3 linked regions of the Coturnix japonica genome follow. The protein of the gene in region 1 interacts with the protein of each later gene in a pairwise test. Links are inferred from orthologs where the notes say so. Each region holds a gene or a part of one and is shown in the gene's direction. Other genes may lie near its edges.

What was found.
Region 2: the proteins of TPP2 (region 1) and POLB interact in binary tests that used the Homo sapiens proteins (3 or more experiments, as listed by UniProt). The two-hybrid records come from large-scale screens. The link is inferred for Coturnix japonica from reciprocal best matches to the Homo sapiens genes TPP2 and POLB.
Region 3: the proteins of TPP2 (region 1) and EHHADH interact in binary tests that used the Homo sapiens proteins (3 or more experiments, as listed by UniProt). The two-hybrid records come from large-scale screens. The link is inferred for Coturnix japonica from reciprocal best matches to the Homo sapiens genes TPP2 and EHHADH.

Annotation. Positions count from the first base shown.
Region 1 is NC_029516.1:128,554,079-128,558,549, reverse strand, and holds part of TPP2 (tripeptidyl-peptidase 2), read left to right. Parts: intron 1-301; coding exon 302-456; intron 457-1,330; coding exon 1,331-1,407; intron 1,408-1,912; coding exon 1,913-2,040; intron 2,041-2,623; coding exon 2,624-2,723; intron 2,724-4,252; coding exon 4,253-4,401; intron 4,402-4,471. UniProt on the Homo sapiens protein: Cytosolic tripeptidyl-peptidase that releases N-terminal tripeptides from polypeptides and is a component of the proteolytic cascade acting downstream of the 26S proteasome in the ubiquitin-proteasome pathway.
Region 2 is NC_029537.1:4,115,081-4,120,205, reverse strand, and holds the start of POLB (DNA polymerase beta), read left to right. Parts: upstream 1-2,057; 5' UTR 2,058-2,134; coding exon 2,135-2,195; intron 2,196-2,262; coding exon 2,263-2,320; intron 2,321-2,460; coding exon 2,461-2,527; intron 2,528-3,030; coding exon 3,031-3,105; intron 3,106-3,585; coding exon 3,586-3,644; intron 3,645-4,758; coding exon 4,759-4,808; intron 4,809-5,125. Other genes in the region: olfactory receptor 4S2-like, read right to left, coding at 1-862.
Region 3 is NC_029524.1:2,567,638-2,572,847, reverse strand, and holds the start of EHHADH (peroxisomal bifunctional enzyme), read left to right. Parts: upstream 1-2,142; 5' UTR 2,143-2,215; coding exon 2,216-2,289; intron 2,290-4,659; exon of another isoform or gene 4,660-5,004; intron 5,005-5,210. UniProt on the Homo sapiens protein: Peroxisomal trifunctional enzyme possessing 2-enoyl-CoA hydratase, 3-hydroxyacyl-CoA dehydrogenase, and delta 3, delta 2-enoyl-CoA isomerase activities. Catalyzes two of the four reactions of the long chain fatty acids peroxisomal beta-oxidation pathway.

The DNA of each region.
Region 1 (4,471 bases):
TTACTTTGGGTAGGAAGTGTTGGGCCTTTTTGTTAATGACTGTTAGTGAAGTTTATTATACTTTCTTTCTCTTCTTCTGCCTCCTCCTTCCTGCCCTCAAAAGCTGTTTTGTTTGGCAAATTGCTCCTAATTACTGGCTTTTTGCCTCTCATTTAAATAAATATCATATTATACTAAGTAGTTTCAATTCTGGGTTTGCTAATGTAGCTCATTAAATGAAAACTAATAGAGCTATAGTGTATTAAATCAGCATAAAAGAAGTTCACTAACCATACAGTGGTTTGAATTTTCATTTGCCTAGGGGCACATGGAACACACGTGGCTAGTATTGCAGCAGGATATTTTCCTGAAGAGCCAGAGCGAAATGGTGTGGCTCCTGGAGCTCAGATTCTTGCAATCAAGATTGGTGATACGAGACTTAGTACAATGGAAACTGGCACTGGTTTAATAAGAGCTGTAGGTATTTCATTGGATAAACGTTAACCTCAGCAGTTTGAATTTGTTATGGAATAATTTGAGATACTTTCTAGTTCAGTAACTCATATGCTTTGGTTTTATAGTCCTATAGTACCACCAGCCTTAAAATAAATAAAAGGAAACAATAATTCCAAGCTCATTGAAAAACTTCTGTTTTATAAGAAATAAACATTCAGTAAGGCTTATATATATTTTTTTTTCAGATGAGTGTTGCGGTGTTTGTCTAACTTAGCCCATAGGATAAGTGGCTTGTAAGCCTATTTAAAGTTATTTATTCTTATCCTTTTTTTTTATGGTTAGCTACATAACTATAATACTTAGAGTAGCAACTGGTGTATAACTTTGTGACTGTTTCTTAAGAGTGAGGAAAAAATACTACTTTCTCATGATCAAAGTCTTAATGCCTCTGCTATACAGTTACGTGTTTGAGGAGAATGGATGTAAGAGAAGAAATGAAGATATAAAATGATTATTTGTATAGATCATAGAATATATTGCTATAGTGAAGATTTGTGTTAATACTACTACTGTGGCTTTTTGGAATTTAACTAAACCACAGAAGAAAGGAGAAATTTGTCTTATTAAGGACACATATTTAATACTAATGAGTTTTGTGGTTTTATATTATGTTAATGTCTTAATTTATAGCTTGGTACATGGCATGTTAATGGCTTGTTTTGTTTTTTAACTAGGCTCCTAGGAAAACACCACTTTAATGTAGATTACTTCAGTCCCCTCCGGAGGGTTGAAAAAAATGTTGCTTTTTTCCAAAAATGTGTAGCAGGCAGTTTTAAGCAGATGTTTTTTCCTATTCCGTAATTACCTACATTGCCTTTAATTCTTGCTTTATCAGATGATAGAAGCAATAAAATACAAATGTGATCTTGTCAACTACAGCTATGGAGAGGCAACACATTGGCCAAATTCTGGGTAAGTGCTACTGTGTTTAGCATAAAGTTATTTAACATCACACAAGTGTAATTTCAGGTGTTGACTTTCTGTAAATGTACTGTCAGTAAGGAAGAATTGTCCAGGCCGAAATGATGGCATTAAAATATTGCAGTTTATTTTTTTTAAATACCTACAAAAACTACATAGGCATATTGAAAGTGAATTTTGATAATAGGAATAGTTTAGAGCAAAGAAGTGTTGTGGTAGTTGAAACACTATGTAATCTGGGTGTTTTTTTGTTTTCTGGGTTTTTATTTTAATGTTGATGTGTGCAGCTGTTATCCCTTCCAGAATAAGTAAGATCAGTTCTGGAACCTACTCTGCCTGATGTCAAAAGCTGGCTGCATAATATTTCTCTGTGACTGGTCCTGCTATGAATGGGATTTTTCTCACCCAGAGAGGAAAAATAAAACCAAATATGTTGTTTTATGCTGTTGATTAAATAACTCCTTTTTTTTTTTTTTTTTTTTTTCCCATACTTCAGGAGAATTTGTGAAGTAATTAACGAAGCGGTGTGGAAACACAATGTAATCTATGTTTCAAGTGCGGGAAATAATGGCCCTTGCCTTTCTACAGTAGGATGTCCTGGTGGTACTACATCTAGTGTAATAGGTATGAACGTTTGTTGGGTTTTTTTCTTCCCCTAAAACAAAAGACAGTATTTCTCTTCTGCCTGGGCTCTGGGCCCACTGAGCTGATCAGCAGGGAAATGCTGACTTTCCACCGTGTGGTGGTTGAGGAGTGTGATTTTTGCCCATCTGTTTAAGGTAGTGTAGCTCTGAGTCATGGGAACATGAACCAATTCACATAGATTCCTTTTTGGCGGCCTTAGTGTAGTTTGTGTCAGTGTAAACACTGACAAAATTATTTTCCCCAAAAAGGGGAAGGCGCATTTGGTAGTGATCTGTTGTGAAATAAGTACAGATGGTGGATAGGGATTGTTCAGTTGAATGCAAATAGCACTTCTAAGTTACCTATTTCATGCAAGATTTACATATTACTTAGTATCACTGTGAGCATTGTAACTTTGTAGCATGTGCTTTACACTTGGTTTGTAACAATAAAATTTACTGAGATGGAAAAAACATTCTTTTAAAGCCTTTTTAAAATAGTCATTCTGTAGTGTATTTAAAATAGTTCATTTTTTGTTTTATTACAAATTCATTTTGCATCTAAGATGTTTGTTTTCTAATAGGTGTTGGTGCCTATGTATCACCTGATATGATGGTTGCTGAATATTCTTTGAGAGAAAAACTGCCAGCAAATCAATATACTTGGTCATCCAGGGGGCCAAGGTAAGTTGTGGTAAAAGGAGAGAATTCCTTACTTTGCAGTTCTGGTTAACTAATTACAGGTCTAAAATTGGTCACTGATGCCAAAATGGAAGTATTCCCCAGGAATTGCTTAGGTAGTCTGCTGGTATTGGAAGGGCTTCATCTATAGGCCTCTAGAATTCTTAGTGGGAGGGAGGATGACTGAACTGTCAGTGTCACAATCTGTACGTTTCAGTAAAGTCTATTAAGAAAATGAAAGCCTGAGTAAAGTGGTTTGGAGATGTGTACTATTTCTCAGTTCTTTTTCTAAGGTTCTTTTCAGTATCATTTGTTTCATTCAGTAGTGTGGTATAGCTAACTATTCTGTTGGTGCTGAAGACCTGAAGAAATACCGTTGTGGTATTGTTACTTCTGGCTTCAGTGACGTTATAATGGCAGGATTATTGGTTTTGCTTGAATCTAGGGGAGGTGTGAGAGGACAGAAGAATGCTTTTCCAACTCGTTATAGAGAATTATTTCAAAGATCTATGAAAATGTTGGTTCTTCGAGAATTTTTATTATTATTTTATGTCTCATAAGAATTTGGTAGTAATGCGGTAGCCAAAAGAAGTCTTAGTAAGCACTAGAGGCTTTCAGACAGATATGCCATGATCTGCTTGTCTGGGATGTACGATAAAAACACTGTAATTTATATAGGACTGTCATAAAGTGTATTAAATTTGTTGTGACTCTGTAATGTAGAGAACTCTGATTTTGAGACTTACATGAAGCTATTAGTGTATGATACAAATCCACCTTGCTTCTCCACAAAATTTAATAGTTAAAGCTCAGTGTGGTCCTTATTGAAGTGATACATGTTTTCATCTGAACAGAGTGAGGAATATTTAGAGTATTAGCCTCATACAGTTAAAACCTAGATGCTTCGTAGGTACTCATTGGGGTTTTAAAAATGATCGGGCAAGGTAGAAGGTGACTTCAGCCCGGCTGATGCTGAACCACTGCTTGAGACAAGAACAGCAAGGGAAGAAGATAAAATGTATCAACTTCTGTATGTTAATTCAGAATTTTACCAGCTTGTGCAGTGGCTGTGCAAAATCCAGATCTCTAGATTCTATGTTTTTTTTTTCTAGTCTCTTTTTTTTTTTTACTAATTTTGCTTTAAGATATACTATATTTTCATTAAAAACAATAATGGTTAAATAGGCTTAGTGAAATATTTATTTACGTAGTGAAATACTTAGTGTATTTGTGTATGCTTTCTAATTCAATTTTGGCTCGATAAGTCAGCTGACTGAACTTTATATAGTATTTAAGGAATGAAAGTTTGAATAACTTGCACTGTGGAAAACAGGCCTAGCTGATTAGTTTGACATTAAGTTGCTACTTAATGTAATGCTTTATCTTGTATTTAATGGATTAATGATTTAGTAAAATACTATTTGGGACTGTGCCAAAGCTAAAATTATCTTTTTAAGTGCACAGGTAACTTCAAGGTAAACTGTGCAGAAAATAAAAGCTTGTTTTTTCAACAATTCTGTTTTTTACACTAGCACTGATGGAGCCCTTGGAGTAAGTATCAGTGCCCCAGGAGGTGCTATTGCTTCAGTTCCAAACTGGACTCTGCGAGGAACACAACTTATGAATGGCACATCCATGTCTTCTCCCAATGCATGTGGAGGCATTGCATTAGTACTGTCAGGTAATATCAGTGCATAGTATAAAAGATAAGGTCTTTTTCTGTAGCTTTCCAACTTTGTAACTTGTTTTCC
Region 2 (5,125 bases), on another chromosome or scaffold:
CCTCCGAGAGATCACTGGATGGGCGTATGTAGGTGAATGTGCACGGCCCGAAGAACAGAACCACCACGGTGATGTGGGACCCACAGGTGGAGAGGGCCTTGCGCCGTCCTTCGGATGTGTGACTTCTCAAGGAAACCAAGATCACCACGTAAGACACAACCAAGATGACAAAAGAGCTCAGAGCTATCATCCCGCTGTTGGCAATGACAGTGACGCCGATGGCGTAGGTGTCAGCACAGGCCAGCTGTAGCAGGGGATGGACATCACAGAAGTAGTGGTCAACTTTGTTGGGGCCACAGAAGGGCAGCAGAGTGATCAGAAGAGTCTGCACAATGGAATGCATGCAGCCCCCCAGCCATGAGCCCACCACCATGCGGCTGCACGTGCGCCTGGTCATGAGCGTGGGGTAGTGGAGAGGTCTGCAGATGGCCGTGTAGCGATCGTAGGCCATCACTGTCAGGATGAAGATCTCTGTGCAGCCAAAGAAATGGACCCCAAAGAGCTGCGCCATGCAGCCCACAAAGGAGATGGTTTTGTTTTTGACAAGGAAGTCAGCAATCATTTTGGGAGCTGTGACAGAGGAGTAACAGATGTCTACAAAGGACAAGTAGCAGAGGAAGAAGTACATGGGGGAGTTCAGGTGTTGGCTGCTCATCACGGTGACAATAATGAGCAGATTTCCCACCACGTTCATTGCATAGAAGCAAAGAAACATCACAAAGTACAGCCCCTGCACACCTCGACTCTCAGAGAGGCCGATGAGAATGAACTCCTTCACACGACTTGTAATCACTGCATTGGTCAGTTGGGCAGCCATACACAACAGACAGCCTGTGCACATGGAAAACCAAAGAGATGTCATTTGATATCATCATCATCACTAATAATGAATTCTGTACCAGAAACTGGGAAGCACATAGAATTACTATTAACCCTACAAAAGCATTGCTTTCCCCATTTTTTCCCCCTGGGTATTTCATTCTCCGCGAGTGAAACTTTGGCCATGGCTGTCATGTGCTCCTTCATCCTGGTCCTTTGGGGCTGTGAAGGACTGAGCCTACAGTCACTGTGCTATGAAGGACAGTGAGAGGCACAACAAAGGCGCAGGGCAGGATGTTTTCCCCCATTATAGTCCAAGGTTATGATTACAACCCTTGTGAGAACCCTTGTGAGACACCCATTTCCATTTCTGGCCTTCCACAGGGGCAACTGACACTGATACTGGTGCCTCCTTTGAGTGACCAAGATTGACTCGGACTTTTGACTCGGACTGATCCAAACTTTTGGTTTGGATCTCAGTTTGGGAACTCTCTCTCTCCACAATAGTGTTATATAGAGCTCGGTAAGCACAAGCCAAGCCCCAAATAAGCCATTCCTCCTCAGATCTTTCTGAGCTGCACCATCCCTTACTCAGATACTCACTTAGTTTCTCAGGGTCCCACAGGTGTTCAAGAGTAAAATCCCATGACACTAGGGGTCCCCAAGCTTCTAACCTCTTTCCTAGACCTCATCATATTTCCTGCCACTCACCATTCTCTGATTTTTGGGAAGGCTTCCTCTACATAACGTAAATTACTCTTGCAGAGCATACATGCAGACAGACTGATAGCATAGTACCTAAGCTGGCACCCTGAACGTGCATAAGGAACTGGGAAGAGCACTTGGAAACCAGTCCAAACCCCATATTGCCGTTTAAATTAGCTGGGATATACAGGGACCAGGCAGGTATCTCCATCAGCACCCTTCACTGATTATAGCTACGTGCAACTCCAACATAGAACACGAGGAGCTTAAAAAGAAACCAGTGTGTCCCAAGGAACATAACGTCCGCAGCCCTCAATACAATGCTTTACAACTGCCACAGTTCCGCATTATGTTCTGAAGTGAACCACAACAAATGCCCGGCTGATTCTCGAGCAGCAGCAGAGTTCCGACCTCCGGGACCTCCGGGGCCTCCAGGGCCTCCTGGGCCTCCCCTCCGGCCGGACCACTCCTCTGCCGGCCGCGCCTGCGCTGTGCCGGCGGAACGCGGAACCCAACCCGGCTCCTCCCCGCCGGAACCGCGGCCTTTCCCTGTCACCGCCGGAAGCGCTGCCGGCCGCTTTTCCGGTGTTAGTCGCTCCTGCTGCCCGCCATGAGCAAACGGAAAGCGCCGCAGGAGAGCCTGAACCAGGGCATCACGGACTTCCTCATGGGTATGGGGGGCGCGGGGGGCGGGTCTGGGGTTCGGCTCGACTGGTCCGACTGTGTTTCTCCCCGTAGAGCTCGCGAATTACGAGCGCAACGTGAGCCGGGCCATCCACAAGTACAACGCGTACAGGTACCGTCTCCTTCCTCAGGCCTGACCCGTTTCTTTAACTCGCTCCCGGCTCTCGGGGGTCTGGCCCGGCCTCGCTGCACGAGCCGTGCTGGGGGCTGAGCGCTGCGCGGCTCTGGGCTCTGACCGATGCCGTTCCGCAGGAAAGCGGCCTCCGCCATCTCCCGGTACCCCAGCAGGATCCAGAGCGGAGCCGAAGCGAAGAAGCTGGTGGGTCCCGGGGCGAATTTGGGCTTCTCGGGGTGAAGGAGTTGCGTTAGGACGGTACCGAGGTTTCCAGGAGGAGGGAAGCGATGTGCGAACGGCTCTGCCTGCGTCAGCTTCTGGCAGCCGGCTCAGGGAAGGGGGGAGCGGAGCGCATCAGCTGTGGGGGTCTCATAGACTTGAGCTGGGGACTCCAGCTGGTCTCTTCTGTGCAAGGCAGGTTTCCGCTTTGCTGTGTTGCTGTCTCACCAAGTTTGGGGAATTGGAGTTGCAGGAATCAAAACCCAGTTTAAAATAACTGTTTTCAGCGAGTTTGTAATGCGGCACTTGAAGTGCTGAGTTTGTGCTGCTTGTGTTGTACCTTTCAGTGCTCCCGATCTCTCATAGAACAATGTTTTAAAATGGTTTCTGTGACTTCACGGCTTTTTGTTGAGCTTTATTTTTCTTAGCTGTGATGGCTGTATGTGGCCTTGAAATTGACTTGTGTTTCATCCTTCCTCAACATTTAGGATGGAGTAGGTGCTAAAATAGCTGAGAAAATAGATGAGTTTTTATCCACTGGAAAGCTCCGCAAGTTGGAAAAGGTGTGTTTCTTTCCTTTGTGCTTTATTTCTCAGCAGTTGTTTTACTTTGTTCTTTGGGAATTGGTCTGCTGCTTTTGTGCAGCTTCTGTCCCTCTCTGTGGAGGGACTGATGTCAAGCACTCTGCAAAGTAAAGTGGGGAACAAGAAGCTTAGGCAAAGCCTCTGAACTGTCTACTTATATTTTAGATTGTACAATTGGCACATGAATGTCTTCTGTAAGAAGTGGAATGCAGGCTCTGGAAGGCTGTGGAATTGAGTTTTAACCACGCTGTTTACCTTAGTATGGGCAGTTAAGACAATTAATTTGCAGGAATGGTACATTGTGGCACCATCCTAATGCATAGTATTATTGTTAACACTGTTTTGTTCTGATTTACGGTAGGTCTCCAAAGCAGAATCTGACCAAGTTGTTTTATAAGCTTTCTTTGTCTACTGAAATGGAGTAAAGAAGAGCTTGTTCACATTATTATGTTCTTGCAGATTCGACAAGATGATACAAGTGCTTCCATCAACTTCCTGACACGAGTTACTGGAATTGGGTAAAGCTTGGTTATTATCTGTTAGTGCAGGGGGGAAGTGGTTGTTGTCAGAGTTGTAGAGCTGTCAGTTACAGGTTTTGCAGTAGAAGAGTGGAAGTAGAAAGCTCCTGTGTGCAAGCTGAGAGGGGAAGGAGGGAGGGAGGCGATCAGAAACTGAATCGGAAGGTTGAGAAAAGTAAAATCAAGAAGACATAGTAGGAGCCTGTGAGACTTATGGTGCAAAATCTGATTAGGGAGAATAGTATTTGTACCATGTTTGTAAAAGGAGATCCAGAGCCCTGCCAACCCCTCAAAAACAGGACTTTTCAGAAAGATTATATTAGGAGTTCTCAGGCCTGTTCTTGTTCCCATACTGTGCGTAGGGAAATTTTGGCAAAAAAAGAGCTCAGTCTACAGACAGGCACTTAATTTAGCATGTGCAGAGCAGCAGTAGTCAATATCTTGAGTGAGAAGGGCTGTGATACTGCTTGCCAAGAACAGGATTGGCTAAATATAGAATATCGGTGCTTAAAAACAGAACTGGGTGGAATGCTGTGGGGAAGGAGAAGCAATATTGAGACTGCCTGAGGTGGAAGGCAGGAGATGCAGTGGTGCTTCAGTAATTCTGAAGAAAGATTTGCTGAAAGGTTGTGGGTGTTTATGTTGTGCTTATGATAAACTCTTCAGCCAAGCTGCTTTTCTGTAGTGTAGGTTGCAAGCTAGAGTCTTGTGTAGATTTTTGTTTGTTTTTAAGTTGTAGTCTAAAGACACTTGCATTGTTGCCTTAAGCTGATTCAGAGGCTGTTAATAGTGAATGTAGTCCTTGTGCCTTCAGTTCCATACTAGTATTTGTCTAAAGCTGTGCTGGCTGTTTGGTGAGATTGTGTTGGTTTACTTTTTAAAATCATACATCAGTATGTAGTTCCATCAATACTAAAAATGTGCAGTTGGATAATTGTCTCTGTTGCTTGAAAACACAAGCTAAAATGTGCATGACAAAAGGATGATAAGCGCTGCAAGCAACCGTAATCTCAACCTTGAAAAATCAGGGCAGTTTGAGTGAACTGTGATGTCCTTTGTAGTGCTGTAAGGTTCCTGCTGTTCCTAATTGCGTGATGCCTTGCCTTTTTTGCAGTCCTGCTGCCGCTAGGAAGTTTGTAGAGGAAGGAATTAAGACTTTAGAAGGTGAGTATTGAGTGTAACTTTGGGTCCTCAGTTTATTCTCTGATAATGTTTCTTATGTTGCATTGCTTGTTTCACGGTAACAGTGTGATAGCAGATAAGCCTTTAGTTTGAGGAAACTGTATTGATAAAATAACAACAACTAGCTAATCTAAATGTAGTGCACAGGCTAGAGGCATTATGAGCCTGTTAGAGCCATTATTGAGCAACCTGTTAAAAATCTCTTCATTGAAGTTGCTATTTGCTCGTTGAATATTCTTCATTTGCATCATCTTTGTGTTGTTGAAAACGCACTGTAAGAACTTAAGTAACTTTTTTCT
Region 3 (5,210 bases), on another chromosome or scaffold:
TAAAAAACCAACCAGTTCTCCCCCACAGCTCCAAGGTACAGCTTACAATATTTTTGTAAACTCCCCATACGCACTGTTTTACAGGGAAATTGCAGAGCATTATCCCTGGTTTTGTCTTATCACATTTAATATTTACCTTGGGGGGGCGGAACCTTAACCTCTTACCTGAGTTCTTAGCCCTACCCTGCACAACTTTCATTATGCCTGACAGATAGGCAACCAAAATAAACCGAACAGGGGGAAGTGAAGTCCTCATCCAAGTTGATAGCCCTACCATGCACAACTTTCACTACAAGTGATGGGCAGGCAGCCAAAACAAAATAATCATGATAATAAAAGAATGTTTTAATACTCACTAATCAGTGGTCTTGTCTGCAGGGCTCTTCAACCTGGGGATCAAGGTCCTCCCAAGAATACCTCTGTGTTAGATGACACTGTGAACTCAGGAACTGTTGAGGCTTACCCCATCTGGGGTGCTAAATTGATGCTGTAAGTCGCTCTGTTGTGAAACTCTTCAGGAATCAAACTGGAGCATCAGAAGGCAGGCACTCTGTATTTTCAGTGCTGAAAGCACGGGGGTTGCATTCCACCTATCACGAATACCTTGTACAAAAGATCTTCAGCTTATGTACATTACTTGCATCACATATGCTGAGGTTTTCTTGGAGGTACAAATGCATTCAATACTTGCTTTCACAATAGCTGATTCCAAGCAGAACTTCCTTATCTACTTGGTACAAAGACTTAACAGAACTCCCCTTATTTGCTTGGTAAAAAGACCAATATCTATCTAATTATCTACTTGATACAATGAGAAAGCTCTTCCCATTATCCAAACAAACTTCAGGGCTATCCATCAAGGAACACGAGCAAACTTAACAATTTTGTTACAGCTCATTTTAAGCTGGGGAACGAGGAAGGATTTATTCACTGAGAACAGGCTCCCAGGGCAGTGGGCACGGCCCTAAGCTGCCAGAGCTCAAGAAGAATCCAGACACCACCCTGAGACATACGGTCTGATTTTCAAGTGGCACTATGTAGAGCCAGGGGTTGGACTCAATGTGCTGCAAAACAGACCCTGGTCCAAATAAAACTCCTTAAAACCAATGTGTTATTCAGAAGCTGGCATTCTTTAAAATAGCACTGGATGCACAAGGGGATCCTTCCACCTAATCATAGAACAACCAAGCTTGGATAAGACCTCCAAGATAATCCGGTCCACCCACAACCAATATTTCCCACTAAACCATGTCCCTCAGTACAACATCTGAATGCTTCTTGAACACCTCCAGGGACAGTGACTCAAACACCTCCCTGGGCAGCCCATTCCAGGGCCTAACCACTGTTCTGGAGAAATTATTCCTATCATCCAACATGAATTTTGCCTGGCACAACCTGTGGCTATTCCCTTTAGTCTTACTGCTAGTTATGAGAAAGAAGAAACCAACCTCCACCTTGCCACAACCTCCACTCAGGGAGTTGTAGGGAGCAATAAGGTCTCCCCTGAGCCTTCCTTTCTCTGGACTGAGTTCCCTCAGCCTCTCCTTGTGCTCCAGACCCCTCACCATGCACCCCAACAGAACAACAGCACATCCCTTATAATACATTTGGGTACAGCACCTCCATGTGCTTGGAGAGAGGTCATGAGACCTCAAGCACCTCTCCCATTCACACACATGTTGTTAGTTAACAATCTCCTAAACAATCTGCTAAAAGGCAGGCTAGACAGACACGCTGATTTCCGAGATTCTCTTAAAAGACCTTGTGGGTCCCTTCCAACTCCGGATGTTCTATGATGGAGGACCTCATTATACCAAGTGGCTGACTTGGCCAGGACCTATAAAAGAGAGATTAGAGATACATTAAAAAATCCCTAAATAAGCTAGCTTTCCACAGCAAGCTATTTAGGTTAAACTACACTGTGGATTAAGCCTACAGCTCCATTGGGAGCCCACCCAGATGACCTTGGGCATCTCCAGAGACTGGGCAGCACCCTGGGAACCTGTGCCAGGGCTTCACTACTCTTTTTAGCACGAGACTTTTCCCTTATATCCAACCTAAACCTCCTGCTGTAAGGTTTATATTCAAACACACGGATCACACAGTGACCCCGCAGGGTGCCGTGCCCTGTCGCGTTCCGCCCCGCCCCGCCTGTGCAGGCCGCGCTGTAGGCCGGGCGCCGGGCAGAAGCGAGGGGACAGCGGCAGTGCTCGGTATGGCGCAGTACGCGAGGGGAGCCGCGGCCGTGGCCGTCATTCGGCTCCGCAACCCGCCGGTCAACGCGCTGAGGTAAAGGAGGCACCGCCCGCCATTACGTGAGGCGGGCCCGGCCCCCTGCTCGGTTACAGGGACTCGGGGCTTTCTCCACACGGGCTGGGTGCGGCTGTGGCTCCTGCAGAACGACAACACGAGGCTTAGGGCTTAGATATCGCTTTGCTATCACCGCGCCGAGCTCCTTCGGGATTTGTGCTCCTCGCTATAATGTTTAAAGGGTTTTTTTTTTACGCCAGGTTCATGGGTGTGTGCTTTCTGCCATCTCCCTTGGAATCTCTCGTCAGTCGCAGCGTTAGCTCAGCTCTTCCACTCCCCAGCTCCTGTGCATTTAGGTGGAAATCGGCTTTCCCTCCACGATTTGCTGCTTCTCACGTTGGCTGATAGCTCTGCTTCCAAGTGCGCACAGGGGTTGGGGCAAAGAGCTCTGTGAGCAGAGGGCACGGCTCAGCAGGAGGCACCGATATCCAGCCCCAGTGTCAGAGTGCAGGCTGCTCATGTGCCTTTAGAAACGAGTAAGGCATTGACCTCCCAATGCTACACCTGGTGAAGAAGGTGATCTCAGACCAGCCGGGGACAGGCAGCCAAGCAGAGCCCCTGAAGTTGGACTTTTCCACCTTTCCATCTGTACTCAAGAGGCAAAACATCCACTGCAGACACACACAGCTTCTAGAGCAGAAAGTTGGTTAAAAAAAAGCTGAGGGGAATGGATGAGCATGAATGGGGAACACAAGGTGCATTGCTCCAGCTGCCAGCCCTCACTCCTTCACTGCAATGTTTGAAAGCACAGAAAGACCTTTGAGCTGAGACCTGGCTATAGCGAGGGAAGGTAGAGGACACTCTGTGATCCTTGTATGTACCTTCTGCTCTTGCATATTTTAGTTACTCTGTCTGCAGGGGAGCAGGTTTGTGATTGCTGCTTGAGATGTCTGTTTATGTAGGTGATAGGAGGCAGGGAAAGTTACAGACCGGAGCTGTGTCCTGCAGTCCTGACAATTTAATTTCACAGCAGGCACAGATGCCTTTTAAAAGGCTGATGTGCTTTTCCTGCACTGCTGTGCTGCAGCCTCACCTCTTTCTCCCCATTAGATGTGATACTCGGCACCGTTTGCCCAGCTCCCTCTCCATCGCACCAGCCATTAGCACTTTAGAAGCCACTCGTGGGTAGAAATTTGCTTTTTGCTGTCTAACAGCATCTGCTGCTGTGCACGTACCTCCCAGGCGGTGCTTTCCTGAGGAATATTTGCTGACTTGTGAGGCTGGCAGCAAATTTGGTTTCCACACAACCTCTCTTCAAGCTAATCTATCTCTCCACCAACAGAGCTGGCATGAACCAAACTTGCTTGCTAAAAACAATAGGGGGGAAAAGCAGGAGAAAAAAGAGAACTCTGTCAGTTACAGTTCAGGAAAGGGATCTTTACCACTGAGAGATCTTTGAGATCACCAGCTCAGTGTGCTTGGACAGCCCAAAGAACCCAGCACATATGCTGAGAACGGAACAAAAGAGAGAGCACCATTCCTCTATGATAAAAAAACAAAACACTAAAGGACTTCTGAAGTACTGCCTGTAGTTCTGGACTATGCATTTGCAGAAGGACACAGGGACAATCTGGAAGGGGACAACCAGAACTGAAAGGCCAGAGCAATGCACTAAGAAAGCACAGTGAAGAGGTTGAGAGTCATCAGGTTGGAGGCGAAAGGCTGTGGGAGAATAAGGGTGAGGTTTATGAAACCCCAAAGAAGGTAAATCAATTTGTCTATTTTTGATTACAAAATCCTTCAGTAGCTGATGTAGGGGCGTTTGATTACACTGCTAGGAGATTGTTTTCAAAGAGATCATACAAAGCTTGATGCAACAGGAGCCCGTGGAGGCAGATGGGTTGGCTGGATCAAGGATTAGACAAATTCATGAGCAGCAGGTCTGTAAGGGATGCTAAATGAGGGTATGTAGATACATACCAGACCATCCCTCATGCAGTGACTGTGGATGCTTTGAATGTTGGGGGGAAATACAAAGGGAAGGGAGCAGACCTGCACGATGCACTAAAAGCATTTTCTATTGTTAGATTGCAGCCTGGCTGAGTTAATTTTCAGGATTCCCTTAAGCTACTTTCATTTATCTTTAAATCTGTGTTTGCAAATCCTTGCAAAATAATAATAATAATAATTTGAAGCCTTGTTACAAACCCTTGTTACCGATGGGTAGAGTTTTGTGCAAGGGAGAAATAACCTGGTGTGGTCAGCCCCAACAACAGTCTGTGCTGGGGGGCATGTTGTACCCACCCAGAATGCTGCTGAGATACATAGCACTGAAGCACCCCATCGGGATGGCTTTTCTTGCAGTCAAAACAGTACACATGGCAGAGCCGAATACATAGCAGTGAATTTCTCATTGTTACTGTTAAACGAATGATGCTGTCGCGCAGTAATGAAATAGTTATGCAAATGAGGGTGACTTTTTGTCTCTTTCATGCTCTGGCTGTTTGAAGTTGTGATACTCTTGAGGATTTTTACAGTTCTACTGTCATACATTTTACTATGATTTCCTTCATGGAAAATGACATCTCTTAGTATCACTTACAGCATGTGCATTGCATGCCATGCAGCTCACACTGGGCTGGGACACGTCCTGGGGTAGGAACATTGCTCCAGGGCAGGAGAACAAGCAGCTGCCTCAAATCTGGGTGATGATTCCTCCTCTTTATCCCACAAGAAATTCTCCCTGGCAGAAAGCTATAATGAAGGGAGAAGAAATATTTTTGCAAGTAGAGTTTCATGTGGCAAAACCAATTGTGTGGTATTAATACAGATAACACGGGCAGCTTGGATGACAAATCTTTCTTCTGGCAGGAGGGTGTTGCTGTAAGTGCTGTGAAACTAAGGGCTTCTAAGTCATTTCCTATGGAAAATCCAGAACCATCTGAACCAGACTCTTTCTA